Linked DNA regions of Caenorhabditis elegans. Changing the gene in region 3 together with the main gene of any one other region gives a genetic interaction. Each region holds a gene or a part of one and is shown on either strand. Other genes may lie near its edges. The genes, in order: lin-12, ark-1 and cdk-12.

The links.
Region 1: of cdk-12 (region 3) and lin-12, changing one enhances a phenotype caused by changing the other (phenotypic enhancement), as found in Caenorhabditis elegans (one large-scale study listed by BioGRID).
Region 2: of cdk-12 (region 3) and ark-1, changing one enhances a phenotype caused by changing the other (phenotypic enhancement), as found in Caenorhabditis elegans (one large-scale study listed by BioGRID).

The regions. Positions count from the first base shown.
Region 1 is NC_003281.10:9,066,564-9,076,891, reverse strand, and holds the start of lin-12 (lin-12/Notch intracellular domain), read left to right. Parts: upstream 1-5,419; 5' UTR 5,420-5,503; coding exon 5,504-5,652; intron 5,653-7,172; coding exon 7,173-7,291; intron 7,292-8,906; coding exon 8,907-8,963; intron 8,964-9,978; coding exon 9,979-10,169; intron 10,170-10,328. Other genes in the region: F02A9.1 (uncharacterized protein), read left to right, coding at 1-166, 728-932; F02A9.7 (CX domain-containing protein), read left to right, coding at 1,268-1,590, 1,697-1,937. UniProt on the Caenorhabditis elegans protein: Essential signaling protein which has a major role in many developmental processes; involved in cell fate decisions that require cell-cell interactions. Probable membrane-bound receptor for putative ligands lag-2, apx-1, dsl-1 and osm-11.
Region 2 is NC_003282.8:12,624,554-12,635,132, reverse strand, and holds the start of ark-1 (Ack-related non-receptor tyrosine kinase), read left to right. Parts: upstream 1-4,110; 5' UTR 4,111-4,166; coding exon 4,167-4,240; intron 4,241-4,352; coding exon 4,353-4,438; intron 4,439-4,864; coding exon 4,865-5,039; intron 5,040-5,658; coding exon 5,659-5,893; intron 5,894-6,453; coding exon 6,454-6,774; intron 6,775-7,280; coding exon 7,281-7,624; intron 7,625-8,411; coding exon 8,412-8,781; intron 8,782-9,684; coding exon 9,685-10,217; intron 10,218-10,579. UniProt on the Caenorhabditis elegans protein: Probable tyrosine protein kinase which plays a role in vulva development, probably by acting as a negative regulator of the let-23/EGFR and let-60/ras pathway. Involved in the negative regulation of germline development.
Region 3 is NC_003281.10:4,328,803-4,339,559, forward strand, and holds the start of cdk-12 (Cyclin-dependent kinase 12), read left to right. Parts: upstream 1-4,189; 5' UTR 4,190-4,260; intron 4,261-4,332; 5' UTR 4,333-4,422; intron 4,423-4,591; 5' UTR 4,592-4,593; coding exon 4,594-4,787; intron 4,788-5,323; coding exon 5,324-5,521; intron 5,522-7,424; coding exon 7,425-7,551; intron 7,552-7,985; coding exon 7,986-8,099; intron 8,100-8,156; coding exon 8,157-8,377; intron 8,378-8,730; coding exon 8,731-8,876; intron 8,877-8,928; coding exon 8,929-9,218; intron 9,219-9,276; coding exon 9,277-9,350; intron 9,351-9,611; coding exon 9,612-9,767; intron 9,768-10,017; coding exon 10,018-10,212; intron 10,213-10,260; coding exon 10,261-10,411; intron 10,412-10,705; coding exon 10,706-10,757. UniProt on the Caenorhabditis elegans protein: Cyclin-dependent kinase which displays CTD kinase activity: hyperphosphorylates 'Ser-2' in the C-terminal heptapeptide repeat domain (CTD) of the largest RNA polymerase II subunit, thereby acting as a key regulator of transcription elongation.

The DNA.
Region 1 (10,328 bases), 4.7 Mb from region 3:
CAATTGATGTTACGGAAGATGTGAATATCATCGAATTCACATTTACAGCGCCCGATGAAAATGGAACAACTATTGTAGAAACCGATTCGTGGGAATTGAACTTTTCCGAGACCTATTTCCACACTATCGGATCCCTTCAACTTGTCGGAAATTTGCCATGTGGCCGGTGAGACTTTTTTTTGGTTGAAGATTCATCGTTCACACATGTCACTTTTTCAATGAGGGAATTGTGGGTTTTTGATAGTTGACACATATTGTTAATGGAACATGTGGTAAACCTTACTCAATTGTAAGATGCTTTATGGGAATTTTAAGCAGGGAAAACTTGGGAAATGAGAAAAATATAGGGACATTGAGTAAAAAAGTGTGATCAAATTTTCAATGAAAATTATAGATTGAAAAATTATGATTTAAATAACTTGACTCACTTGATAATTTCCTACCAAACACTTTACTACTTTTTGCCGACCTTTAATAATTGATCAAATTGTTGACAGACAGTTACCAAAGTTCCTCTCAAAGCTGGTAGATTTTTGTCTCTCGCGCCAACAAAATCTCATCTGTTTCACGCCAAATGCGTCGTTTTGATCAGGATAATTCTGAAATAAAGTTAGCTTTTTTGGATATCACACAATTTAGCACCCACGACTTTAAGATGTAAAGAGGTATTATGTGAGATATTTTGAGGAAAACCGGATGCTCAAGAATTTTTAATTTCTAATTTCAGATACGGTTGCCCGCAAACTCCACTTTGCAATGGAAGTTGTCGTTTCATGGTCATTGTTTCACTTGCAGCTTTTTGTATTTCTGTTTTAGCTGGACTCGCGCTACAAACTGTATACGTCTCGTTTCTCGGGTTTCGAAAAACTCGAAAAGCTGTCGAACTTCGTGACACTTTAAGATTAACTGAGGCAGCCGAACTTGCACATTAAGAATGATTTTAAAGTAGTATCAATTTTTATTTGTGTTCAAATCGCGAAATTTTGTAAATTTTTGTAAACAATGATTCAACTTTTTCTCAAATGAAAGTCCCATGCTTTATCTGAGCCATTTCTAAACGTTTTCCCGAGTTTACTGTATTTTATTATTTATTCACATTTCATGTCATCCCATATAAAAATAAAATTTTATTTTTGTATTTTTATGAGATGGAGCACCTTCCGTGTTATGGGTTTTCGGTCCCGTTTTATTTTCTTCGTTTTTTTATTTTTTGGTTATGGTTCCCATTTAACACCTAAACGTTCTTTTTCCCAGCCAACCGCACCTCATGATTGTGCTTATATTGATCTTCACTCTACCTACCGTAATCTCGCAATTTCATTTATTTATTGTCATCAATTGTGACTCTTACTGCCACGTAACATTCCGTGACAATGAAATGCAATACTACAGTATCATGGAGAACACTGCACAGATTTCAAGACATTTTGATGTTCCAGTGGAAAGAGTCGAGTTTCAAATTGATAATTTCTTCAATTCCACTGATTTTATGCCGGTGACAACGAATCTGGATTGGGTTAGTCATCTTAATAAGACCTTTTATCACAAAGGAGATGGATTCATGATTATTGGACACTATTTCTGCCCAGAGTAAGTTTATTTTCAATGGAAATTTCGGTGTTTTCTCAATTTAGATTCATTGAATCTTTAGTTCCCCTTCCAATATTCACAATCAATAGGAAATATAACTTTTCAGAGGAAGCTGTCTCGTCGACCACACCCGTTCCGAATACAATCAAAAAATCGATAAATGGTGCTGTGCTCTTGTTCTACTTGGTTTCTTATTCTTCTTGCTAATCAGTGGAATTGCTGATACTATTTTCAAATGGACAAAGAAGAAGTTAAATGGGAAGAAGATTGAGTCACAAGTCTATAAATCGTTGGAACTTGTGGATATGTCAAAGAAAAATGAAAATGCGCCTGGTGTCGGAGCATGAAAAAAAATCGATTTACTGTATATAATTTGATATCTGTCGCATTTCTTCTATTAGTCTCACTCCCGGCATTTCTTTTGAAAATTTTTCAATTTTTTATCAAACATTATTAAAATTAATAAATTTCGATATGAACTGTTCGAGTTGTAGGGAGCAGACGAATACTGGAAATATGATGTTTTATTTCTCACTTTTACAGAGTATGATCCCGGTTTTCTTTTTTGAATAATATTTTTGAATAAATATTTGTGGTATTAAAGAGGTCAAAATGTTTTTCTTCATAAATAACAAAGCGGTGATTCTTTGAAGCACTTTCTAAATAATGATGGCAAATCATAAAAAATGTCAAATACCCAAGTTTCCAACCCAAGTTTTATAGATTCATTCAAACAGTTACATAGATTGATTTATTGCCCTAAAAATTAACTCAGTCAGTTCACTATATGTTGAACAGAATCCGGAAGGATTAACATAACACGTATCTGTTGGATTACTGTAGATTAATGTATAAAGTCGAGAAAAGTTATGGTAACACTCTCTCGTGTTACATCATTGTGCACAAATAAACCGGAAGAAGAAATTGGGGTCTTAACCAACCTCATACATTTTCTGGAGTTCTAAACTTGCGAGTTTATGCATTGAAATTTCGAAGGAGCCGTACTTGAATCAAAGTATCAAATGATAGAAGTTATTATGCTCAACTTAATTTGGAGTAACACCAGTGGGAAATGAGAAAATATCATTTTCTAGTGCTAAAGCTGTTGAACATTATAATTCAAGTAAATTTCGAAATCTTAACAAATCTTAAATCTTAAGATATTCATTTCCAGTCGAAAAGTGTAGATGACTCTGTTTTTCCATATCATGATTTCGGAAGTTGGCCAGAAGAATGAAAAATGGATTTTCCATCATTTTTTAAAATTTTAATTATATTTCAAAGGCTTATATTCAAGCATTGTAAGGGTTTCTGCGACATGGCTCAAAATGTCTCAGAAAGTCATTTTGAAAAATTTGTTCAATTACCAAAACTGACTGAAAATTTAGAAAAATCTAAAAATGTTCAAAGTTAGCATGCTTGAAATCGGATTGAATTTTCAGAAAAGAGAAAAAAAACTTTTAATAAAAATTATGAAATGATCAATAAACATCTGCAACCTCTACTTTCCTAACAATGACTCAAAATTGTAATCGAATTAGCAATAAACCATCGACAAAGGTCTTCGTGTATATAAATATTGCCAGATTGTCCAATATGACGATTCCACCTGTGCAACTGGAGATTGTATAAGTGTACCTGAATCAATCAATATTCAATATCTGCCATCTTGTGCCGAAATGTTGATTCTTTTCTATTTGTTTCATATTTTCGATTTCTTTTTCTTTTTCGTTTTGTTCCATTTGGCTTCTTTTCTACTACTACGTACGTTGATAACAACATTTTTTGGGGAGGCATGCGCCCACGCTAATAATCTCACAATTTCCCACTAAAAGGTTAGTTTTGAAAACATTTTCCCATTATTTTTAGATGCATGATCAATCAGTAAAAAATCAACTAAAACACAAAATAATCATGAATGGTTGAGATAGAAGGACACAGATGATGATGCACTTGTGCAAATAAAAGTAGGAGAACAAGGTAGCCCCATTCACAATATAACGGAAATTTGAATTTTCTTCAGCAACATTTTTTTCATTTTCATAAGATTTCCTATTATCTTTTTTGTGGTAATTTTAAGATTTGACTATTTTAAAACAAAATACCACCAAAGCTGATAATTAATAACGGCCTTCTAAAAAACCAGGTTTTTATAGAGCTATTGTTAATGCCATTTTTAAATGTTTTCTTAAATGTTACACTCATTTATTAACAATATTGTTATTTTTGAAACCTTTCCTTGGCGGGTTCCCATGCCAATAAATCAAGTCAAGAGGTCTTGAGACTAATCCGTCGACGACAGTTCAAAGTTGCCGGTTGATTGTCACGTCACATGTATATGACACCACAGTAACAGACACCTGTGCTCCTGTTGGCTCATCCATCATTTCCGTGTTTTGGGAAAATAGTAGTTAATTGGTAGCAACAACTATGCGTGAATTTTTGCAACAAATTTGGTTCAGATAGCAATTAATTGTCGAGAATAAGGTTATATTTAATTGTGTGAAACAGTTAAAAAAATAATCAAAAAATGATCAAATCTGTTTGAATTCCCGCCAAAAACAAACGCCCACTTTTGAACCAATTAGCGACTTCGGAATTTCCATACTTAATCTGATTGGTTGAAGAATGGGCAGAGCGAATTGCTGATTGGCCATGCAGTTCTCGTTTTGGAGGTAATTCAAATAGAGAGATTAGAAAACACCTTGGAAAAAGCGTGTTCAATATTTTGATTTGTTTTTTTTTCTAATTCTTACTCGATGTGTTTAGTATTTTCAAGCTCTTTCAGCTTTTGAACAGGAAAAGCTATGAAAAATCTCTTCCGCCTATAAAATGGCTAAAAATCATTTATACAATCTTACAGTTGTTCCTAAATGGATAAAACCAAGATATTACTTTTTGAACAAAGCTTAGAAATTTTTTGCAAGTATTGATGTATAAAACTAAAAACTATAAAGTATCCGAATAAACAGAAATAAACAGAAATAAACAGAAATAAAACTCTAAAACTGACACACAAAGACCCAAAAGCCGCAAATCACCATACGTTCCCAGCAGTTCGTTTTCCTCATCTTGATCATTCTTCCTTCCGTTCCCACTCTCTTCTCTTCCACCTCCTCCTACTTCTACTTCATCCAACCATCTGACATCGTCGTTTCATTTTAAAATCATCTTCTCCTCCTTTTCTTTCTCGATGAAAAAAAAGTCTACTTGGTGGCCGCACCGCGACCGCAACAAGTTGGGCGGAGCCATCTGTCTCTCTCTCTTTTGTGTTCATCCTACCCCCACCCCTTCGCCCTCTCTCGTCCTTTTTACTGGGTGAAGACATAACAATAGCCACCCATTTTTTGATTGGCATTTATTTATCCTTAATTAATGATAATGCAAAAGCTACCAGGTTTGGGTTTTATTAGGTTTCGTTTATTGGTAATAATATATTCCTACAGCTCTCACGAAATATTTAAAATGTTTCGAGCCAAGTATTATAGTTTTAAGAATTGATCCTGTTTCCTTCTATTTTGCCCTTGTTTGTTAGTTGACGATGACTGTATTCCTCTTTTAGTATTGCAACTCACTACTTTACTTTGAAAGGTAATATCTCCGCTCATTTTGATGATATCAAAAACTGATTTTCTGCACAATGGAAAAAATATTTTGTCAGCTGACAATTATTATTTAGAACAAATGACAACTGAGATATAAGCTGTCAACACTAAATAACAGGGGTGCAATATTAGTACGGTCCGATCCTTTGCATTTCTATACCGTTTTACTGTCGTCAACTTTCAAACAACGAATTCACTAAATTAAATAATTCAAAACCATTTTCAGAACCTACATGATCCATATCTAAAAGCTAATTTCCTGTCTCTGTCCGCCCTATTGCTCAACAGACTTTGCTCAATTTCAAAAAATGCGGATCCCTACGATTTGTTTTTTATTTCTTCTTATCTCGTTATCAAAATCGCTTCATATTGGCTCATGTCTTGGCTTAATATGTGGAAGAAATGGTCACTGCCATGCTGGACCTGTCAATGGAACTCAAACTTCTTATTGGTGCAGGTATGTGAAGATTTTGCTTAACAATACTTAAACATTTTTTCAAATTTTAATTCAACGTAAAATAAATAATACAAATCTACACATTTTGAAAACTAATCTTAAAAATACGCAATAAATTGGGGGTAAGGAATATTCCTAGGAATTATGGGATTTCCTTTACAAAATTGTCAACTGACCAAATTTTTGTTATTTCTCTTGCTACCGTTTTGTAGTTACCGTATTTCCTCTATTATTCTTTTATTCAAGACTATTAGAGGAAATACGGCAATTCTTTTTATATCTTTGAAATTAACCGAGTTATAACTTTACAAAGTTAAGTAGCTAGGTGCAATACTAGTAAAAGAAGTACTGTAAATTATAACAAAACATTGTTTGTACCAGTAGACTATTCTTCCATAATCCATGCCCTTTTCAAACAATAATTACGTAATCCGTCTTGATTTATAGCGGCATGTGCTCTCCGTTGAGCAGCTAGCTCCTGATAAGATAGGTGATATGGTTCAAGTAGAGACACGTGTCACTTGAACAACACACCATTAATTTATAGTTGATGTTAATTAATAGGAGGACATTGTTCGCACGGGTTCCCACCATTTACGAAACTTGCGCAACAAGAGAAATGAGCGAGTAATGAGAGAAAAAACCCCACAGAGGAGACACCTGCGTCGTCCCTCGCTGTAGAAAAAACTTTCAATTTTTTTGGGAAAAAGTGAGGGAAAATATTGTAAAAACAATACTTTCAGGGTGTTATGGGAAAGTTGGAAAAAGTCGGGTTTTGGATAAATCAACTTCAGAAAAGCAATTCTCAGCCATTTTTTTCCTGCCAATTCTCGTCTCAAAGTCGAAGAAAAACCAGGCAATTAACCCGCTGAGATTCTCATTAAAATGCGAAAGAGAAGCAGCTTTTCCCCCTCCTGGTCTCGCACCGCCGCCAAAAAATCACCCAAATCGGTAGTTTATTGCCATGGGAAAACCGAAAAATACGGGAAATTGAGGGGAGAATTCTTCTTAATGACAAAAAAATACTGGTCTTCCACATTTTTCTTATCAAACAAAAAAGAATGGGGTAGGATTTATGACCAAGTTCCCAAAAGAAATGACCAATGGGGGGTTACTGTAAGATTACTGTAGCTGGTTTTGAACTCCCTATCAGATGTATTATCTGTCAAAGTTTTTCCCGAAAATTTAAATAGAAGTATAGAAAAATGTTTGCACTTTCTGAAAATTGCTTTACTTTCAATTGGCAACTTCGGAAAACTGCAACGAATGCCACTTTTACTCGGCATTTTGAGACTTTGAATGAGAAAAAGAATAGTCTTCAAAATTGCTTATCTTATCACAAATGAGGACTCAGTTGCCACCTCACAATTTTACAGCCGTGTTCCCAGTTTTGTCGGCAAAACATACTGTCGAGTGAGCCTACCATCAGTTGTCATAAAACCATAAAACAATAGGATTACGGTGCCTTTCGGCTGCACGACGTCTTTAATCTTTAACCCTAACCCTTCCCAATGTTTCAGATGCGATGAAGGATTTGGTGGTGAATATTGTGAACAACAGTGTGATGTTTCAAAATGTGGAGCCGATGAGAAATGTGTTTTTGACAAAGATTATCGGATGGAGACCTGTGTCTGTAAAGGTAAGATAATGTAATTTCGAGCTGAATAACTTATACACAACACTTCCCATTGCATCTCATTTTCCTGCAAAACCAATGAGCCAGTAGTGGTCACTTTTTTGCCCAATTCCCATAGGGACCTAAACACCCATCACTCATTTTTTTTAGCCCTCCATGGTGGCGGTGTTGCGAATGAAATGTTTTTTTGGCCCAAAATTCCAAAACTAGGGTCAGCTGCGCGCGCCCTTTTGTCGGTCATCTTTTTGACCACACCATCCATCATAAGCACATGCCTGGTGGAATTGTGGCAAACAACTGACAAAGTTGGGGGTGAATAATAATTTGAAAGTGAATAGGTGGATTTGAAAATTCAATGGAAGTTAAGAAACTAGGAATTGTATCATTTTTAAGACTAAACGAAATATTCGAAGATTAAAAAATAAGAATTTACTTACTCATTGTTAAAGCTATCACAGGTATAATAGCAATAGGCCTATAGGCAACGCGTATACAGGTCTAAATGTCTGCTTCACGCTGACTTGCCGGCCTACCGTCTAATTTTTTAAATGTTAGCTTGAACTCTGTAGTTTGCTGTAGATTGATGTTGAAAATTCAACAAAAATTGAAGACATTAGAAGATTGGAAGTTTGTGGCTACATGTGTAATTTATGCGAAACAGACGTAGGCTGCCTTGTAGGTAGCCAGGCAGGCATTTCCTCATATTTCGAAAGCTTACGAAAACTATGCTTTAAACTTTATGCGCTTACCATTCCCAACTTTCAAAAATTTTACTAATCGTTTTCCGTTAAACCATTTATGAGTATTGCTCCAAACTTCATCAATCTGTAGTTAGTAGATATTTAACAAAGTTACGGCAACCAAACACCTCAATATTTCATCATGACTCGTTTGTATCGAGGACAAATTGAAGCGCGGCCAATCTTTTTCCATTTCTCTTCAGCTCATTTGTCTTGTTGGCGGCGTTAAAAGTGACCGCGTAAGGTGCCTGATAGATAGCTCCTAGGTCATCTGCCCCTCCTAGCCTCTCTGTTTCATGCGCGCTTCTCTATTGTCGATGCGCTTCTTTTTGGCGCGATTTATGTCTGATGTTCGGTATGTGTGAAGAGGGCGGTGAATTGGGCGACGACCCGATGGCGCCTCGTGTGTGTTGCCAATTCTTGGGAAAAAGTGGGATAAATGACCTAGAAATGATGAGCAGATGATGATAGTATATAGGATTTGATGTAGCAGAAGTCTGTCGGAGAAGAAGTGGCAGACGTGGGAAAGTATACATTTGGTTATTGTACGACTAGGCTAATAAGCAAATATACAAGTGGAATGGTTACAGGGATAGATCAATTTATATATTAAAAATAACTGTCTGCTTTTGAGTTCATATGGGTAATGTAGGAGTACTGTAGTTTCTGAAAAAGTGTTTTTGTTTTTTGAAAGGATATTGGAATGAGGTTAGTGGATACATGTTGTATGTGTACTGTAGTGGTAATGCAGGATACTGTAGGGAACTGTGATTATTGTAGTACAATTATTCATTCAGATAATTATTCCAGTTCAACACAAAAATATCCTAGACTTAACTTTTTCTAATATACAGAATAATTATGATAGTAAATTTCAGATTGCGACATTAACGGAAACAGTCTACTAAAACCAAGCTGTCCATCCGGTTACGGAGGTAAGTACTTCCATATTCTAATGCAACAATAACCCGAACAAACAAGTGTAACAAACCACTAATAGCGCCCTGTAATTATCGGTTCCGATTACGTCACAGTACACTTGAGCAAACTTAACGGATTATTGATGGGCATAGTTAGTTTAACAGAGACAGGATTACTGTAGCCGTATGACTTTCCCGTCAACACCGATCATCTTCGAAATGACTCTATAATTACTGGGGGTCGTCTTCTTGACGTCTTGATAATAGAAGGTCGTGGGAAACGAATTCTGAAATGAATTCAGATTCAAAACATTCTAGGTTACGGTATACTTTTATTGGGGCTTTTGACACGTTCCACAGTAGTTGCAAACCCGAAAGGAAACCCCACTGAGACTAGGTGCTCCACCTGTTGTCGGATTGATATAATCTAAAAGATCATGACTGTTGCGTGTTTCCTTTAGTAATAAGATTGACACCTAGTCTCATCTTAAAGATATGTCTTAATTGGCATGCAATAGGCAGTGGTATATATTTAAAAGTGTAATAAAAAATTTTAATTCAGAAAAGAAATTGTGACTACTTCACTTTGAAAGGTTATATCTCGGTACATCTTTGAATATCAATTAATAACCAAGTACTAACCTGTAGAAAAAATTAAAAATGTTTCATTAAAATGTTTCGTTGACATTTTTCAAATAGGACAAACGACAACTGAGATATAAGCAGTCAAAGTTAAAAGAAATACGGTATACGAACTTCCATGAAATACGAGATATCCTTGATGTTTCTGAATTTCAATTAAACCCAATTTTCTAACAAGTAACTATTTTGTTCGCGGTATTACCTTCACAAAGTAGTCTAAAGATTGTAATGAGTTTGTCATGGTGCGTCGGCAAACTTTTTGATGTGATGTATGTCAACTGCCGTGCCTCTTTTTGTGTTGCGAACGAATTTGATACTTGTGGGAAACCACAAAATATAGGGATTAACGAACTAAGGATTACTGTAGATTTACTGTAGAGCATTTCAGGAGACGACTGTAAGACACAAGGATGGTGTTACCCGTCTGTCTGTATGAATGGTGGACAGTGTATTGGAGCTGGAAATCGAGCAAAATGTGCATGTCCAGATGGATTTAAGGGGGAGAGATGCGAACTTGATGTCAATGAATGTGAAGAGAACAAAAATGCATGTGGAAATAGGAGTACTTGTATGAATACGGTTGGTTAATTTATGATTATGTAGAAAATATAGAGTAGGCACTTTTAAGACACCCAACTTCTTGTCAGTTTTTGCAAGAAATTTATATAAAAATATAGAGCAATATTTGTTAAATCGCAAAATATCTGTACGTTTAATAGTAAGAATTGGGAAGCTTCT
Region 2 (10,579 bases), on a different chromosome or scaffold from region 3:
GTTTAAAATGTTTACTTGATACTTTTAAAAATTTGGTAGTCCCGTTTTGCCAGTATAAAACTCACCGAAATCACCAGAAAACAATCAGATTTTTAAGACTTTTAAAACATTTACCTAGACCTTAAATGTTTTTCTAGGTTTTTCAAGTTTGTGAAAAGTTCCCATTTCTTGTTTCTCCTCCAAAACCTGTAGAAGACACAAGTTACCATTTAAACTTTAATACAATTCAAATTCTTGTCGGAAGCGATCAAAAATCTCAAAAAGAAAATCGTTTTCTAAAATCTCTCCGAACAAATGTGCCTATTAAGAACAACAACAGTCAAAGGGAGTAACAATAATGACTTATAATTGTTCGAAGGGGTTTGTTATGTGTATTTGTTTGTTTGTAGGATAGTCTCATTTTTAATTATCCTATTCCTTGTCTTTGTTTTACCCAAACGTTTCACCCGGTCAAGGCGTGCTGAGGGCGCCTCTCTAGTGGCCCGAAAGTTTCAGTTTATCCAAACATTCTGAAAGTTTTTACAACTGTTTTTATTATTCGTAATATCTCCCTCTTTTTGGACGAAATTTCGAAAGTTGAAACATATGCAATCGGTTATTCTGCAAACCTTTAAAATTAAAAAATTCGACGGTTCTTTTTTCAAGTTTCCAACACTTATAGTTTATTAAAATTTGACTTTTTCCAAAACTGAAATTTTTTAATCAGCTCAAAAAATTGTAGATCACCATTAACATATAATTAGTGAAAGCCACCAATTTTTTCTAGGCCATCAATGCAGAGCCTTTTATTCAGATTTTCTATTGATTTTTCTATTGGTACCTAAATAATGTTCCATTCTTCGGTCATTTTCAAACGGAAACCTTTTCAATTTCACTTTTCTCAAAAGCGCCACCTATATCCAATTATCTCAATTGATATAATATCTAAACGAAGAAAAAGATTTGTTCGTTTTGAATATGATAAGTGGGTAAAACCATCCAAAGGGGGAATAGTGTGTCAATTTATGAGAGACGGGTGTCTTCTTCTTCTTCAACAGATGATTCATGTTTGCCTAGAGATTCTCATTCTCTTACTCTCTCTCTTACGGCCAGTTGGGTATTCATTGTGTATTTGGGGGTGTGTTTGTCGGTATCTTCTTCTTCTTCATTTCTTTTCATCAAATCGTTTACGGTCTTCTCTGTTCAACAGTCTGCGTCTCTCTTAATTTAAGCCACATGCTCTAGGAGGTTTGATTATTCTGATAGTTTTTTTACTAAAAAATTTTTTCTATACTTTCTATTCTTCAAAAAAAAATCAAAATTTCATGAAAAATTTTTTTTGACTTTGCGTATTAGACCCAAAATTGCCCAAAATTATCAAACTTTTACCGAGCTGTTTGGAAAATCACTCAAAAAATTTATGACTTTTCAAAGAGTTGAAAAAATACCTAATTTTTTAAAGGTACATTTTTGGCCGATGGGTGCACAAATTAGGGGTGGGCGACAACTGCCGTTCGGCAAATTGATTTGTCGACAAATTCGACAAGTCGGCAAATTGCCGGTTTGCCGAATTGACGGAAATTTTCAATTCCGGCAATGTGCCGATTCGCCGGAAATGTTTAGAGGGATTTTTTATAAAACGGAAACACTGAAAACTAAGTCTTTTTTGAATTTTTTCCGCTTTTTTAAAACATATTTAAATAGAATTCGCTTACTTTTCAAAATAAATGTAGGAACATTCATGGGATGCGTTTAATTTTGCCATTTGAAATTGAATTTTTGAAATTTCCAAAAAATAAATGCGAAATTGTCGGAAATTGCCGATTTGCCGGAAATTTTCCATTCTGGCAATTTGCCGATTTGCCGATTTGCCGGAATAAATCGTTTGCCGCCCCCTGTCACAAATATAAAGAGCATTTAATAACATTCAGGTCAATTTTTTCTAGTTGTGTTTTTTCAAACCTAACGAACATTAAAGAAAATAATACACATGCTACATATGTATTTAAAAGTGTTCTACATCAAGTTAACCATGGCAATATAAATTTTAATGATGGTTTTTAACAACAAAAAATGAAAGAAAAGATACCGACAGACACCTATAAATACACTGAACTTTAGAACTTATCAATGAAAAAAAAACTTGGAAATGTGCTATGTAGACACCATGGTGCATCAATTGAAAAAAAAAACTGAAAATTGGGAAAAATTGAATTTTCATATAAAAAAGAATTAAAAAAAAACATATCCTGGCTTCGCAGTGTTACGCTATTCGAAATTTTGTGTGCAGTTTTTTCTGAAATTTTCTTTTCAGTATTTCATCTATGATTTTTTTTAGAAAAATGATTTTTCAAAACTTTTCTTTCATCTCGTGGCAAGACCTATCCGAATGAATTCGTGCGCCTTTTTAAAACCTTGCAAAAAATTCAAAAACTTTAGAATCTCCGTAACAATAAAGCAAAAGAAACTTTACATTCATTAGCTAATTGTATCTAACCGTCTGCGCCTCATGTTCGCTTGAAGTCATACACTATTTCAAAGTGTACTTCAACTACAACCACCAGTACTACTATTACAAGATATTCGCCCTTTTTTCTTTTTTTTTCTTTCTTCTCCATGTGTTTCCACATCCAATTTGATTGATGGTCTTTCCCGTTTTCTCCTTCATTTTTTCGGAATGGAGCTCCTTTTTTTATTCGATTGTTCTCGGGATATATGCAATATTAGAGTTTTTCTTTGTTTTTTACGTTTCCATGTAGTATGCTTTAATCCTTTCGCATTTTTCTGAAAATATTGCTTAAAGGCGCACGTAATTTTCCGGATGGGTCTCGCCGCAAAAAAAACAATGGGTAATAAATATCACTTATTGAAGCACTTTTGGAGCACATCCATATTTTAAAAATCAATGTATGTTGTGTTATTATCACAATTTTAAGTTTAATTAATTAAAGAAAAAAATTGAATCTACCAAAAACTTTATTCGCCGCGAGACCCATCTGGCTAAATCCGTGCGCCTTCGACTACAGTTTTCAGAAAATTGAGAAGTTACGATATTGTTTAATGAACCATGCGGCGATAAATTCTTTTCGAAATTTTTTTTCAACTTCCCGTCTTTCTAGTTTAATTCGAATTCAGAATAGTATCAGTCTAGTTAATGGTTTTTGCGGGTTTTTTATTTGAAAGCATTTTAGAAAATTTTATGGTAGCGCTTTCCGATTTTTATATTTTTTATTTATTTTCATGATTATCATTCGAAATGCTGAGAATACTAAATAGCAGAAATTGCAAGAAAATTTTCAAAGAAAAATCTAAATTTGTACCATACACGTTTGTTTCTCGTGGCGAGACCCAGTCGGAGAATTGCGTGCGCCTTTAAAAACATAAAATACGATACTTTTTCGATACATTTTTTTAACAGAAAAATGTGAATCGTCAATATATTTACATTCCGCAGTATTTCGCTGTAAATGCCTTAAATATTTTCTATTTTTTTTTAATTTCTATTTTCGAAAAATACTGAATTCTCCTATTGCAACAAACTTCCATATTTAGTAAGTTTTCAACACTACATAAATGTGTATTGGAAATGAATTGAAAAATAAAGGGAAGCACGCACAAACACGAATTTGTCGAAATAAATGAATTTTTGCCCGGTTCATTGCACGCAATTCTAAACATGCAGAGAGTGGAAGTGAGAGTGACCAAAAGTTTTTTTTGTTCAATGTTCCTGGGTCTCCTCTCTTTGCATGTAGAAATGTATATCCAATATCTTTTTTTGAACATCTTTTTTCCAAAGAAATGTTTCATTGATTTTTGTTGAAACTCAAATTTTTTAATTTTTTTGAAATTGATTTTTCAGTGAAAAATTGCTCCATTTTCTTAATTATTTATTAGTTTTCAAAAAAACTAGCAATTTCAGAAGTATCAAACACTGTACTCCTTAAAGGCGCATAGCATAAACTTTAAAATACGTGAAATCGTTTCGAGAACTGGCGGGTACGGTATTTGCTATTTTAAACTGTTTTTTCTTCATTTTCTGAACACGTGTCAACACATCCTCCCACGCCTTTCAATTCTGTTATTTTTCCGTTTAAATTGTGTAAAATTGACTGTAAATTCTAAAAATTGCAGGCAAAACAAACGTCAACCGGGGGTAGAAACAACGAAAAAAGAAAAATATTCGAAGAATGCGAGAGGAGCCGACGGCGGGTACCGCTGATGCGACGCTCAATAAACTGCTTCAAGCAGCCGATTTATCAGGGTAAGAGCTGGAAAATTAAGATTATTTGCTGAAAAATGGGGTTTTCAGAAGAAAAATTAACAATTTCTGCGTAAAAACCGAGATTCAAGTAATTAAAAAATAAAATTTTCAGCTACGAATCAGATCTCCGTCGAAAACTAAAACTACGAAATGCTGCCGATTTACAATATGTCGAAGAAGTCGATTTGTTGTCTGTTGGTGAGGATTTTTTTTTTAATCTCAATGAATAATTATTTTAAAAATACCGAAAAAATCACAGTTTTGTTAGTTTTCCACTCAAAAATAGAACAATAATCTCTGAAAAAAAACCAGAATAACTTCTTTAAAATTCTAAAAATAATATTCGACAAAAAATAATTAAATTTGTTTTGTTTTTTTTTTCTACTTTCTGCCTCTAAATACCATCAATATTTACACAACGATTCAATCGAAACAAGTGTTTATTTTTCTCATTTTTCAATCGTATGACTGCTCATTTTGTGGCCATTTATTTTAGTTTTCTTTTTTTTAATTTGAGATTTTTTAAAATTAGTTTATTTTTCTCTGAAATTAAATTAAAAATTGATCGGAAATTAAGAATTATATTTCAGAAAAAAATCCGAAAAATAAACTTACATTTTTCAGGAATGAGCCGCCCGGAGCAAAAGCGCCTCCGAAAAGAATATACAAAAATGTTTCCGTCTGGAATTTTTGGAAAAGTGAAAAAAGCATTCAAAAGGGCGGAAAGTTTGGATCGAAAAACTTCGAATTCAGTTGCAAATCAAGATGATAATGATCATCATGTAATTCCAATTGAAAAGTGAGCATTTCTGGGAAAAACGTGGAGCAAAATGGAAAATTAAAAAAAATTTTTTTAAAAACTCCAGAAAAAAAGATGTTTTGGCAAAAGATCATTTTTTCAGAATGAAAAATTTGAAAAAATCGAAAGAAAATTAATTTTAAAAGTATGGTATTTTCAGAAAAAAAAACAAAAGAAATAATTTTTTTTTTTCGAAGATTAAAAAATAAAAAATTTTTAGCAAATTTTATTCCTCTTCGCAAGAATAACCACCACATAAAAATATAAGTTATCTACAAAAAAGTGAAGAAAAATATCTAAAATTTAAAAAATCTGATTTTCGTTATTGAAAATCAGAAAAATCGGAAATTTCCAAGCAAATTTGCATTTTATTTATTTTTAGGTTTTAAATTTTAATTCAAGTTTCCTAGAAAACAAACTATTTATTTAAAAATTCCTTGTTTTCAGAAAAAAGTACAGAGGTTTCGACTTTCCGAGATTTTGCAAAATCGAAGAAAACTGTGTTTGCAAATTTGACATTACATCATATTATTTTTTCAACATTGAAAAATCTCTTTTAAAATTGCTCGATTTAATTTTTCGAGAAAATTAATTGAAAACTAAAGTTACAATTTTCCAGAATAACGCTTTGCAAAGAGTTGGGACAAGGAGAATTCGGGTCAGTTTGGCAAGCAGGATGGAAGAATTCAGCAGGAAGTGACGTCATTCAAGTAGCCGTAAAATGTGTTGGATCTGATAAACTACTTGCCACGTCATCATCATTTTTACAAGAAGCTGCAATTATGACACGAATGAGACATGAACATGTTGTTAGACTATATGGAGTTGTTCTTGATACGAAAAAAATTATGTTGGTAAGGATTTAAAAATTAAAATCTAAGCCGGAACAAATCTGGTAATATTAGAATTTTTTGTATATTCAAATTTTTTGTCATAAAACCGAAAAAAAATTTCAAAAAACAATGGAAAAAATATCGTAAAATAGAGTTTTAATGCAATTTTCGATTTTGCTAGAAAAACCCAGAATAAATATTAGATTCTCGTATGCCTAAACGAAGACAAACAAAGACCATTTTTACAGAAAAAAAAAATACCGAAAATTATTTTAAAAATTGAAATTTTTTATGCGACTTTTGAAATTAAAATTAGTATTTAAAAATTGTTTTTAATAAGAAATCTCTATAGAACCCTAGAGCTTGATTTTTTGCATTTTTCATCAAAAAAAGGAAAAAAAAACGGAAAAAATGGTCCAGAACGATGTATTCTAGCCTGAAACTGTCAAACTCACAGCAAAAATTGCGCACTTCTCCTCCTCGTGAGAAAGTTTTAATGATAAAAAATCATAAATTTTCGAAAAAAATTGAACATTTCAGAATTATCTAAAAGTTCAAAAATTATAACAAAAAATTTGCAGGTCTCGGAGCTCGCAACATGTGGATCTTTGCTGGAATGCCTTCACAAACCGGCTCTCCGTGATAGTTTTCCAGTTCATGTTTTATGTGATTATGCTGAACAAATTGCAATGGGAATGTCATATCTTGAATTACAAAGACTCATTCATCGAGATCTTGCCGCAAGAAATGTGCTCGTTTTCTCACCGAAACTTGTGAAAATATCAGATTTTGGACTATCGAGATCTCTTGGAATTGGTGAAGATTATTATCGAAGTGAATTTACACCGAATCTTAAGCTTCCTATTGCTTGGTGTGCACCGGAGTGTATTAATTTTTTAAAGGTATTGCAAAAAAACATTTGCTGAAATTTACCAAATTTTAATTTTTCCCCAATTTTGAACAATTATTCAATTTTCAGACCCCTTTTTGTTCGAAAATTTCACAAAATTTCGGCCTAAACTCCGATAATTCGCAAAAATAAATATTAAAAACGAAGAAACAAAAAATTCCAATAAAATTTTCTTTTTTTATTTCAAATATTACATTTCAAACAAAATTTTAAAAAAATGTATTTTTGAAAAGTTTTATTTTAAAAAAATATTTAAAATTGAAATGTTATAAGAATTTTTAAATTCATACAAAAACCGTTTTTATAATATTTCTAAAAATCTATAAAACATAATTCTTTAACATTTTTAAATTAATTTTTGAAAAGTTCTGAATTTTTAAAATTTTCCGAAAATTAATAAAATATATATTTCAAAATTTCCGAAAATTTAAAAATTCGGATTTTTAACATTTTTCATATTTTTTAAATGCTCAAAATAATTTACAAAACAATTTCCAGTTCACCTCAAAATCTGATGTCTGGGCGTACGGAGTAACAATCTGGGAAATGTTTTCCTATGGAGAAATGCCATGGAAAGGACGATCGGGAGCACAGATTCTTGAACTTGTCGACAGGAAAAAAGAGCTTCTTACAAGACCAAAAGCATGTCCAGAAGATATTTATGATATGTTAAAGGAAACATGGACACATCAAGTACAGGATAGACCCACATTTTCCGATATTGTCGCTAAATTTCCGGAAAGAAGAGCACAATCTGTGAGAGCTGTCGTGGATTGTAAAGATTCGGCCGCCGATCATTTACATTTTAAAAAAGATGATTTGATTGTTGTTATCAGCCGATCGTGAGTTAAAAATGACTATGAAATTCGAAAAAATTTTTACAAAGTTGTTTGAGAAATTTCGGAATTTTTGGAAGCAAAATTTCCAAAAAGTTTTCATAAAATTTGGAAATTGTTTAGAAACAAAATTTTACAAAAATTTCAAAAAAAAATTGCCAAAATTGTTTGTAAAGTTTTGGAATTTTTGGAAGCAAAATTTCCAATGATTTTCAAAAAGTTTCGGTAAAATTTGGAAATTTTTTAAAACATTTTTTAGAAAATTTTGGAATTTTTTGGAAGCAAAATTTTCACAAATTTCTAAAAATTTTTGGTACAATTTTTCGAAATTTTTGAAATTTTTAAAAACATATTTTCGAAAATTTTTAAATTTTTTGGAAACAAAATTTTACAAAAATTTCCAATAAAATTCCAAAATTTTCCAAAAAATTTCAAAAAAAATCCTGAAAGTTTTGTAAAATTCACAAAATTACAAAAATTTCCAAAAAAATCGAAAAAAGAACATTTTCTTGTTCCAAAAAGTTTTGATATATTTTTTGGAAAATTTTGGAAACAAAAATTTCCAATAAAATTCCAAATTTTCCATCCAAAAAAAAACAGTTATGATGACTTTTACGAAATTTTTTTTTTTGAAAATCCGGCAAAAATGAAGAAAAAACGTCGGAAAATGCTCTGAAATTTAAAACGAAATAATTTGAAACAAGTTTGAAATATCGATATTTAACATCTAATCTAATTTAAAAAAATGGCAAAAAAAAAACACTAAAAATATTAATTTTTCCCCAATTTTCAGACCAGCTCAATATCCTGACGGTTACTATTGGTTCGGATCTTTACGCAACGGAAAACTGGGATTATTCCGTCCAACGGATACTGTAGCTCATCTAGGATCCGAACCACCGTGCTCAAATGGAACAATTGAAAATGGATTCAGTGAGAAAGAAAAAGGTGGAAAAAAGAACAAAAAAGCTGAAAAAGAAAGTGAACGAGAACGTAAGAAGCTTCTGATAAGTGAACCAGTCGGAGATGTCCGTCACACGTGTCACGTGGGTATTGATGGAACTGCATTTGGATTACTACAATTGGATAAGAAGGCAATGTGCCCGACTTCATCGTCACCGTCAACGTCGAGAGGATCACAAGCTTCGCCTGCGCCTTCTCATGTTAGTTTCGCTGAATCAAAAAAATCGATTGAAAAATAGAAAAAAATTGAAATTATGTATTTTTAATTAAATTTTAAGAAAATTCGAATTCAAGAAAATTTGTACGGATTTATCTGATTGGAAAATTTGAAAAAAAATTCGAAAACCAAAAATACTATTTTCTGGGGAAGTCGAAATAACAATTCGGATTTTATTTTTTCGAAAAAATATAATTTCGATCTCCAGTTTTCAGAAAAAAGAAATACAATAATTACTTTTTTTCGAATTTCTGAAAAATCTTTTAAAAAAATGGTTTCAATAAGTTTTAAAATTGTTGTTCGAATCTATTAAGAGTAATAAAGGGGAAAATATGTATATAATTTTTCTTTTAAAAAAAGGAGCAAACCACAATGTTAAATGGTTTTCGAAAATGTTTTTTTCACAACAAAAATTATTTTTAAAAACGTTTTAATGGTAAAATCGAACTCACATTTTTTCCGAGAACAAAAAAAATCGAAAAATTGCAATTTTTGGTTTTTTTAGAGAAAATTGAAATATGGAACACAAAATGTATTCATTTTTCCGAAAAATCAGATTTTTTCTTGAAAAATCGATTGAAAAGTTAGCCGAAATCACATTTCTCAACAGCAGCAAAAAAAAAACTAAAATTGTGATTTTTTCAGAAAAAAAATCGGAAAATTAAAATAAAAAAGTTTTTTCGAAGCAAACGATTTGTCAGATAATCTAATTTACTTTTATTACGATTGTTAGTCGTGAAAAACATATACAAATAATAATAAGAATACAAACAAAAAATTCGAATTCGAAATTCGAAAAAATTACCAGAAACAAAACTGATGAAAATTCTATAGAATTGCTAAAAATCGAAACATTTAATTTCAACAAAAAAAACAAATTTTCCAGACCTCATCCTCCACCACTTCATCAGTACATCTCCGTGAAACAGTTGCCCGTAATGGTGTCCCAATTAAAGAGACAATGTCTCTTCGTGACGTCGGACCCCTAAGCCGTGATGCTCTAAATCTCCGGGATACTGTATCACCGCCTGTGGCTCGTGCTCCTTCACAACCACCGTCTTATTCACAGCCACGACCCCCTCCACGCAGTGTCTCTTCGGTTTCTTCTGGAAATCAACATTCTGTTCAAGTTCATGATCAATTCTCATCACTTGATCGATCGAGGGGATCTTTGACACCAACAGCTCCACCGCTTACCGCATCGGCAGCAAATTCACTGAAGGATCCATTAACTGGAATTTCTCTTTCAATTCCATCAAATAATCTGATAAGCTATATGGATGATCAGGAAGATGATCACCGATGGACAAGATCTCCAGGAGCAATTAGTCAATCAACTACACTTACTGCATTGTCATCAAGCAGGAAAGATCCCATCCCGGCACCACGTGGCCCAGTTGCAGCGGTTTATGCAAGAGGGTACGGGATCCTGAACAAGGCTGACACAAAAAATTATGATCTAAAAATGTTTGAATTTAGAAGCAAAAAACTAAAAAGTTCGAGTTTTTCAAACAAAAAATTTCGAAAAAAAATTGTTTGTTTGATTTTTGCACAACAATACAAAAATTCAATTTTTTTTTCCAAAAAAAAAAGAAAGAAAAAACTATACTTTCAGCCAATTTTTGACTAAATATTTAGGTTTTAGTTTTTAAAAAAACCCCTTTTTTCAGAAAAAAAATATTTAATCCTTGAAAGAAATTTCGATTTTCAGCGAAAACCCAAAAAAACATTTTCGATCAATTTTTTTGGATTGAAAAAGAATTTTGACTAATCTCAAAGAA
Region 3 (10,757 bases):
TAGAGTCAATTGATACAAACAGGCTGAATCTATCCAATATCTTCACAATTTATATAAGAAGTGATAAGGAAACGATTTGGGAAGTGATATGATACTCATTCACACAAACAAGTTTGTTCGTTGGGGAGCTTTAAAAACTTTGAACTGGTCAGAAGAAAAAATTTCAAAAGAGTACTCGAAAAGAATAACGTTCAGAAAGAAAGGTTCAACATATTGACACTCAGGATGTTGTCTATAGGCTCAAACATTTTTAATATATTGAAGCTTTTAGGTCAAGAGACATCTGCAAGACAATTTTCGGCTATATTTAATTTCAAAATAATTTTCTTTTATTTGTATTTAGTCACTTTATTTCAAAAATGACCAGTGAAGTAGATATATAAGTTCCATAAAAAGTACTATATCTTACTGGTCAATTGAGAAAAAAAAATTTCAAAACCAAAATTAGACTATAAATATCACAGAAGAATTTTCCGGCCGACTGCGAAGTATATAGAGGAAAACTTAGATTTTCCCAATTTTCAAATTTAAATAAAAATCGTCAAAATCTTTCTAAAAATTTTACTGTGATATTTGGTACTTTTAGCGCTATATAAATAGTTTTTAGATATTTATAAATAGAATAACATAAACATAAAATTACAAAACCACGAATTTCAAATGTTCACAAACCAGAACAATTTACTGTTTGTTTACCAAAAAAAGCTATTTCCAAATCCCAATTTAATCCAACCGATTTGCTGTTGTAATCCTTCTAGTCCTCATTTTTTCCAACGAAAAAAAAAATTTAATTTTCTAAATTTAAAAATTTCAATTATTTTGTTTGTTGGGCAAGTGTGAAATTGGCATAACGGTAGTGGAGATTTCAAGGACATTTTGAATGGGAGATTGTTGCAATAGGTGTACACTACGCTCAGTTGGAGTAAGATTTTTTGAATTGTGAGCTAATTCCCTTTTGCCAATTTTTTTCACAGATTTTAAACAATTTCAATACACTTTATCTTTACAATAAACTCTTTGAAAAAAAATTAAATAACTTGCAACAGATAGAAAATAAAACAAAACTCCTCTGCCCATTTGTATATCCTTTCCTGGCTATGAGGCCACACGTAAATAGTAGGCAAACCCGAGAGGCACTTCAGAGAAAAAAAAACAAAAGAACTTGTCTACAATACGTGATTTGTATTCCAAATAGAGGTATTGAAAAGAAGAGAATCGGCGTGAAAAAAGAGAAGAAGAAACGAGAATATATATTGAAGAACTGTCTACGAGAGTGGAAGAAGAAAATGTGTTGTAATGAAGAAAGAAGGGTGTCATGTTTTGACCTATAATTGGGTAAACAATAGATAGTGAAACTGGACTTTATAAAATACATAAAAGCCCAGAAAATTTGAATTTGCGCGGAAAATCCGACCAATCAGCCCCTTCCGCGCATTGCTATTTGGCCGGAAGTCTCCTAACTTGGACTAGGCCTGAAATAGTCAGAAACATGTTCTTGAACTGAAATTGCACGCAGTAAATTTTTTTTGAATAGTTTTGTATTTAAGCTAGAATAAAATAAAATAACTTCAAAACCGTTCTTTACTGGTTATTGTATCAAAAAAAAAACGAAAAATTTTACAGAAGGGAGCCGGCAGAGCGGGGAGGAGTCGTCCTGTGACTCATCGACCTTATGACATAGTAAATGGTACCGATACCGTAACCCAATGCTTCACGACACATTGCAAAAACTTCTTATTGTCTTTCAGAATTAGGTTTTTGGTACTACAGTAACTACAGTAATTTGATAAAATTATGCATAACCTTATAGTTTTTAGAAGATTGATTTATAAACAGTTGTATGTACAATTATGAATCTAATAACTTTATAGGTCGTTTGGATCCTTACTTCAACGTTAACAGTTCGCATCTCGGCCATCTTAAATGTTATAGAAAAAGTGTCAACAGCAAAAATGTTCAAAATATTTTTCCTATAATTTTGTAGTTGACAACCTTTTGATATTATCACAAATTACTGAGATAAATGCTTCGAAAGTTGTGTAGAAATGAAGAACAGGCGTGGTGTAATTGCAATTCAAAAAAAACGTTTTGTATCCAAATTTCGAAGTAATTACATACATGAATATTTAAAGTGTTGAATGTCGACCTACCTGACTTCAAATCTTCTTTTAAAGAATGATAGAGAGGGAGAGAAACAGAGAAAAATACAGAAAACTTGTTGAAACTGAAGATTGTTTCCAAATAGTCTGTCTTCAGCAAAAAAAAGTAGTGACAATCTCGGGATTATTCTTAGTATTTCTTAAGACGAGGTAAAAGTTTTCTTTCTCTCTCCTCTTTTCTGAATCCTTTTTCAAAACGAAGAGAGTACGTAGTTCAAGGAGACACAGACAGTGTCACTCCAGAAACTGTAGAAGAAGTGGACACTGACGCCCATGGAGACTGGGGGCGAACGACCTCGAATGAGGTCATTCGGGATAGACAATAACGGAATATTGAGAGAATTCGAGAGACGTAGTGAATTCGGAGGATTTTTAGGAATTGAGATGATGAGGAGGAAAAGTTGATGGAAAAGAATATGTTTGAAGTAGGCAAGAGAGAGGTAATTTGGAAAATAAGTAGTCTCGAAAATGTTGGAAAGGTTTTTTGAAAAGTTGAATATCCAAAACTTCCAGACAATTTGAGGAAGCGTACTAGCAGCATCAGATCGCCTATCTCAAACAGTATAACGGCCATTCGATGATGTATGTACCCTAAGAATGATTGTATCCTCTGAACAAAAAATCGCTCGGTGTACCCTATGTCGATGTACCCTTGGATCATGGGCCGTTAGAAATATTACCCAGTTTCGGAATTGTCAATATTTTCATCCAGAATAACGGTACCCGGTCTCGAAACGATCAAAACTTCGTAGCTACCGTACCCGTTAGCTACAACTTGAAACAAAAAACGAGTTTCAATATGGATCTTGATATTACCGAAATGCAAAAATTTACGTTTTTTGCGCCAAAAATACGGCGTCGGCAAGACTTTTCGCCGATTTTTGATGATTTTTCTGCTGATTTGTTACAATTAGTGTATTTAATTTTTTTTTTCAATAAATACATATATTTTTAACTAAAAAACTATTAAACAATCGATGAAAGTCCCGCAGCAACAAGTTTCGAACTACAGTATTCTTTGAAGAAGCATACGCATTATCATTGCGTTTGACAAAAATGTGTCGTGTCGAGATCGAGTACCGTATTTTCGGGACGAAAATCACATTATTTCGCTACTGGGTAATACAAATTTAAAATTTTTGTTCAAAAAAGAGAAAAAAATTGCAAAATACTTTTAGGGACGGTAGCATTGAAGTTTCGATCGTTTTGAGACCTGGTAGTATTTAGTTTTCCGCCAAAAAATTCACATTTAGCTAATAAGATATGTTCTTAAAATGATCATTTTTGATTAATACATGCTTTACCAAAGTTTAAAAAAATCCAACGTGACCCGGCGCAATTGCTCAAAGAGCCATTCTTGATTTGACTGCAGGTTAATTTCAGGCCAGCTTTAATCCGAATAATAATCAGCTGAAAGCTCCCGTGATCCAACTCTTTCTGCGATCCATTCTGTATACAAAGTTGGGACACCTGAAACATCTCATTCCGAGGTTCTAAAAAAGTATTTTTCAAATTTGTATTATTACACTAACTTTCAATATTCCTTCTTCGAGCAGTTTTGCACGATAAAGCTACAATAAATTGACTATTCTCGAGCTCTTAATCGATAATTTAAATTTTTCTATGAGATTGCAGTTATTTAATTGTTCAGAGCAAATTCCAGCATCAGTTTTACTAGTTTTTCTCCTGAAAATGAAGAAAATCTAGAAAAACTCGACATAAGCGCCACCCACTGAAGGAAAGAGTGTGCAAATGTGAGAGAGACGAGAGAAAGAAAATGCAAGCGCCGCACGGTTTTCGTAGGCGGGGCCAATCAATTTCGATGCCATCCGACTTTTTTCTCTTTTTTCCTTTCTTTTTTAATATTTTATTGATATTTTAAGAATAAAAACTTAAAAAAATCTAAATATCCTGCGAAATAACAAATTTAGTTCAAAATCCCATAATATTTTCTCATTAAATTCATTAGCCAACGTGAGAAAAATGCACTTGTGTTTATTGATTGAAACTGTTTTCCTGTAATCGCATGATTTCAGTTGGTTTCATACGAAAGTTCAGACCAAATTCGACGCATATTGCTGCCGGATAGAAGAATAGCGTTGTAAGTTCATGATTATTTATTTTTGAAAAGGATTTAACAAATTGTTAGCCTGTCAAATTCGAATTTTTGCAGATTCAATGAGTTTCGACTCGTCGACTGACGGCTCGAATTTGGCAAACAGTGATCGATCGAATAGTAGTTGTTATCCTTCCAAACAAGACGGTCAGTCTTCGAAACAACCAAGAAATCCAATTGAACTCCAGTTTTCTTCCTTCGCTTCCAGTTTCATGTTCTAACATTATATTTCAATATTTTGTCGTCGTTGTGTCGTTTATTTTTTTTTGTTTTCTCATATTTAATCTCAAATCTTTAATATTCTTATCATTTTCAGCCATGGAAATATCGCCAGGTTCTTCGACACACGAGAGAGATCGAAAAGGTTCCTATGGACATCGGGAACGAACTCGCAGTCACAGTGGATCGCCTTCCAGATTTTATTCAAAAGACAAAAGAGGAAGTTCGAGACAAGGTGTGAGACCGAGAGATCGAGACTCGAAAGATTCAATTTCTCCACAGTACAAGCAAAGGTACTTTTTCCAGATATTAATTGAAAATTGGATTCTTCAATTAAAAATGCTGTAGCAGAGTTAAAGTTATTATCGGAAAATTGCGTCATTCGCATGATTTTTTGGCTGTATAGTCTCAAAATATGCTCAAATGAACTAATTTCGTAATAAGACATCTCAACATTTTTATGGCGGTTCAAAATTTCGAAAAAATGACGAGATTTTAGCTAAAATCTCCAACTTCGCCAACTTTTTCGTGACGCAACTGTCGGAAAACTTTTATCGATTTATCATTCCTTATTGCATATTTTGGTGATTTATCTTCCGTTTTTCATTGATTAAAGTAAATTTAAAGTTGAAAGGTAACCAATTCCGGCGATTTTTGGTTACCTACGGGCTTTAAATGTTGCCTAATCAACAAAATAATATGAGATAAACTACCGAAAAATGAAAGCTAATATCCGACCGCTGCGACTGGGAAAAGTGGTCAAAATTGGAGATTTTAGCTAAAATTTTAACTTTTTCCAAAAAAGTTGTAAAAGGTGAGCTAGTTTCAGGAATTGGTCCCGAGGCGGTGGCGGTGGTGGTCGCGACCGTGGACGAAACGATTTCAGCTATCGAAAGAAAGGCAAAGACTACAACAAACGACGAGATAAACGAAGCCGTAGTCGAAGCAGGCATCGATCACCGAAACGAAGTGGATCTTCGAAGAAAAGCAAAAGGAGAAATTCGTCCGGATCGTCGTCATCTGATCTGTAAGTTTGGATTAAAATCGATAATTTGTAGAGCAAGCGATGGAATCATAAAAAGATAAACTTGCCTGCTAATATCCCAATAGTTTTCTCGCAAATATTCGAATAATAGTCGCCAGGATTGCCATACATTGTCTGACTCAGAGAGGAAGGCGGGGCGCTGAACTGATGGTGTTTTCGCTGTGCTGGGGTGTGACTCCTCCCTTTTCTGACTTGTGCCAAATCACATACTCTGATCACTGGATCATTTCTACTACAAAGCTCGAAATGTTCTGACTGTGTGTGGTGCGGTTTTGTATTTGAAGTTTTAATCCAACCAGTCGGAATCCTGAGGAGCTTCCAGATAGAACATAGTTTATGAATCGCTGCACACCTTGTTCTAGTTGATAAAATTCTTTAGCATTTTCAATTGAAAAGCGCTACTTGATTACATTTTACGAATCCGTTCAACTTCATCCCAATCTAAAAAGACGTCACGTGTTCAATACACGAGCTTCTCTGGTGGCAAACTGTCAGTAACTAGCACTACTTTTCATAAGATCTACGTTGAGATATATTCCAATTAATTTTACTATAGCAGCTTTAAGCTAACTGAAATATCTGACCATTTGCACAAACCTACCGTATTCTGACCATTTTCTTTCCCATAACATTTCACTTTTTTAAAAGGGGAAAGTGTGAGGCAGGTGTCCCTGAAGGTCACCAATTGCAACGGGTTTTCAATAAGCATCGGTTTTAAAATGGGCAAAAAATGGAGAATGAGGCTCACGCTATGGCTATTGATATTAATATCAATTCTGTGGCGACCAGGCTATTCTCTCCATTCCCCGACTACATTGTTTTCTCTCTACGTCCATTTTTATCATCTCGTTGATTCGTTTTTTGCAAGAACTGATAGCCATCTCGAACTGGATCAACAATTGAACTAGGTCATTAACAACAAATCTTCTATTATATTGTTCATCTTGCAACATTTGATAGTTTGGAATCAGAGGTTTATAGAATATTATAATTCTGAATGTTTCAATGTGTCCTCTCACAGACGGGTGATTCATTCTTGTTTTACAAGCTTCCAAACCGTATGATCAATTTTTCCGAATCCGCTGATTTAATCATTTAACGTTCGAAGACTAAATGAGAAACTCACCGATACCTGTGTGATAGAAAGCTTATTCAATACCAAAATCGGCAAGTCCATTCAACTGGTCGATTTACATTCCGCCCGTCAATTTGCACTCTCATCGTATGCCCATTCCTCATCCAATTGTCTATTTCCTCGTGTCCTTTTTCCACCACAAAAATATCCATAAAAAAGAAAAAAATGAAGAAGATGCCACAACCACCAAAACATTCGGTTCCTGTGCAATTGAGACGTAGAGAACACGACGAAACGACCCTTTCTTCACTTTTTCCCCCACTCCTTCTCCATCGTTGCGCACACCCTTTGAGTCTGTTTGGGTCCCCGTTTCTCTGCATTCCTATCTCTCTGTCACTTCCAACCAGCGCCATCGGTGAATGAAGCTTGACGGCGGCGCCGTCCCCTTCGTTTTCCATCAGACTGCGTCTCTCCGTCGCCTCGTAATATCTCGGCATCTGAAATTTCTACGTCTCTCTCACACTGTTAGCTTCACCGTTGTCCATTCTTCTTTCGATCTCTCCTGTCAACGGGTGCCCCCTCCGCGACACTCAAATTTCCGTTACCGTCGCGACAATTTCAATTTTTTGTTAGAACCGTCTAGACGTATTCTTCTGTAATATCATGCGTGGCTGGCAGAATAATCATAATCATCGTGACGAACGGGGAAGACAGGTGATGGAGTCATCTGGGTAAGAATTGGCAAATTTTAGAAATTATATACTCCATTTGAAAAAAGTTCAGCATATCACCAATTGTTAAAAGTTGCAGAATGGATACCTCATTAATGAGTGAGTTGAAGAAGCACGGAGACTATGGATCCTCTTCGAAAAGTAAAAAGAAGAGCCGAAAGCGTCGAAAGCACAGCAGCTCTTCGTCCAGCAGTTCAGGAGAAGCTGTAAGTTTTTATTAGTTCTCGTTTTGTAGACTAATAGCTATATATGTGTAAGAAAAAAAACTAATTTCCTATTAGAACTAATCTCGAGAGAATTGGTTGTCATGAGAACAAACAGAAAAAAATTCACACTTTCAGAAATAATCGAAAAATTTGAAATTGAAAAACGAAAATTTTTCGAAAAAAAAGTTTAGAAAATTAACAAGCAATTTCAAAACTTATCAAATTTTGTTTTATCTTGAACAGAGGAAAATTGTCAGTTTTTAAAGCTATTTTTCGAAAATTCGATTTTTTTTCTAAATATCGGAAAATATGATACAATTTTTTTTCGACTTTCTTTTTTTAATCGAAAAATCTCTTGGCTATCGTGAAAAAAAACAACAGAAATTAAATTTTTAAAAAACCTATTAGATTCCAATTGACTTTGATTTTTGCAGATGGATCTACCAGTTTCTTCAAATGGAATGAATGTGACAGCGATTCCACCTCCACCATCATTCAATATTAATCCATTCCAGCCAATGTTCTCACAGCCTCCACCACCACCATTAGTAAGTTTTGGATTCCATCAAAAACTGATACAAATGCCCGAATTCCCGAATTTTCAGCCTCCAAATAGTCAATTCATGACGCCTCCACCTCGTCCACCACCAGCACCATTCAGTATTCCACCACCATCGGTTGACATTCATTTTGCCGCTACTGCAAGCTTTTCACTTAGCTCCATACCACCACCACCACCTCAAACCGATGGTGGAGCATCAAGCTCAAAGCGTCAAGATCCGCTTCCAATGCCACCGGATAGTAAACGGATAGCCACTCGGCCTGTGTAAGTTATTTGAAATTATTTTGTTGCTTTTTTTGAGAAATGCCAGAAAATCGGAAAAAAATTCATATTTTTCTGTTTTTTAATCGAAATACCGAAAAATGCGATTTTCTGGTTTTTATTAGCTAATCAGAAAGAAAAATTGAAATCACTCCGAAATCATTATTTCTCATACGGAATTCAATAATTATGTTACGGTTTACGTCGTTTTTTTTTCTTACAGAAAAATTTTAATTTAAAAAAAACCGAGCTAAACCAAAAGATTGAAAAACGAACAGTTTTTTTTGTTCCTGATTTAGAAGATTTAAAAATAAATGTTTTAGGTTTTCTTTTTTGTTTAAATTAAAATATTTCAGAATAACAACCCGCCGTGGACACGCAACAAATCGACCATCAGATTCTGATTCATGGTACAAGACAAATTTGACTCACTACACAATGCTTGATCAAATTGGCGAGGGAACTTATGGACAAGTCTATAAAGCAGTCAATAATCTCACTGGTAAGCTAATTTTTTTTTTTGGAAAATCAATATTAATGCTGTAAATTTCCAGGTGAACAAGTAGCACTGAAACGAGTACGATTGGAAAATGAAAAAGAAGGATTCCCAATCACTGCAATACGAGAAATCAAGATTCTTCGACAGCTTCATCATAAGAATATCGTCCGTCTTATGGATATTGTGATTGATGATATTTCGATGGATGAGCTGAAAAGAACGAGAGCTAATTTCTATTTAGTATTCGAATATGTGGATCATGATTTGATAGGACTTCTTGAATCGAAAGAGCTCGTCGATTTTAATAAGGATCAGATTTGTTCATTGTTCAAGCAGCTTTTGGAAGTTCGTTTTTTTTTTCAAAGAAATAATTTTCAAAAAAAAAAAACGTTTTTACTTTCAGGGACTCGCCTACATTCACAATACGGGATTTTTACATCGGGATATTAAATGCAGTAACATTTTGGTGAACAATAAGTTAGTTTTTCTTCTTGAATTCAATTAAAAACAGATTTTTATTGGAAAATATTTCTTTTTTTCAATTTAATAAAAAATAGTAGTACATACTAATTCAGCTCAAAAGAGCAATTCAGTAGGAAAAAACTTAAATTCCAATAAAAATCAATTTTTAATGGAATTCCGGTTTTTTTTTGAAATCGGAAAACGAAAATTTTTCGTTACGCGATTTTCAAAAAAAAAAACAATCAGAACTTTAATAATTTTGAAAATTGTTTGCAGAGGCGAGCTGAAGATTGCTGATCTCGGACTGGCACGACTATGGGAGAAGGAATCACGATTATATACAAATCGGGTTATCACATTATGGTATCGACCACCAGAACTACTTTTGGGTGATGAACGTTATGGGCCTGCAATTGATGTTTGGAGTACGGGGTGAGTGGCGAAAAAAACTTAAAAAATTTTTTTTGTTGCAAATTTGAAAACTTAACAAACTACATTTTTTATATTTTCTGAAGTTATGAATTTTCAGAAAAATCGAAAAATGTGAATTTTTCTAACATTCATATTTTTTAAACCAATTTTAGAATTTTCAACAAAACAAATTATGATTTTTTTCCAAAATAAATTGGGAAATTTCAAAAAAGTGACAACCTTTTAAAGAAATAATCTATGCAATTTCTAGATGCATGCTCGGCGAGCTGTTCACCCGAAAACCGCTTTTCAATGGAAATAATGAATTTGGACAGCTCGAGTTGATTAGTAAGGTTTGTGGATCACCGAATGTGGATAATTGGCCTGAATTAACCGAATTGGTTGGATGGAACACATTCCGAATGAAGAGAACTTATCAGAGACGTATTCGAGAAGAGTTTGAGCAGTAAGAATGTCATATATTCCGCTGGAACTAGAATTTTCAATTTTTCAGCATTATGCCACGTGAAGCTGTCGATTTACTCGATAAAATGCTCACTTTGAATCCAGAAAAACGAATTTCTGCAAAAGAAGCTCTGAATCATCCGTGGATTCGAAGTTTGGAACATACGACAGTTCAACCACTCAAATTACCTCAACATCAGGTTAATATCACACCGTGCTCGAAGAATACGGTCTCAACACGACAAAGTTTTGTTTCAAAAAGGTGTGCGCTCTTAAGGATTACTGTAGTTTTAAACTCTCGTTGCTTTGCTGAATTTTCATCGATTTTTTAAAACAAAAACGATGAAAATTTCTCAGAAACAAATGTTTGTTATTACAGTACTCTTTAATGGCGCACAAATATTCGTCTTTAACAAAAATCTGTCGTTTCGAGACCGCGTACCGTATTTTTGGAGAAAAATCACAGGATGGGTAATGAAAAAAACCTGTTACAGGATTGCCATGAGATGTGGAGCAAAAAGCAGAAAAAATCAGCTCGTCTTGGGC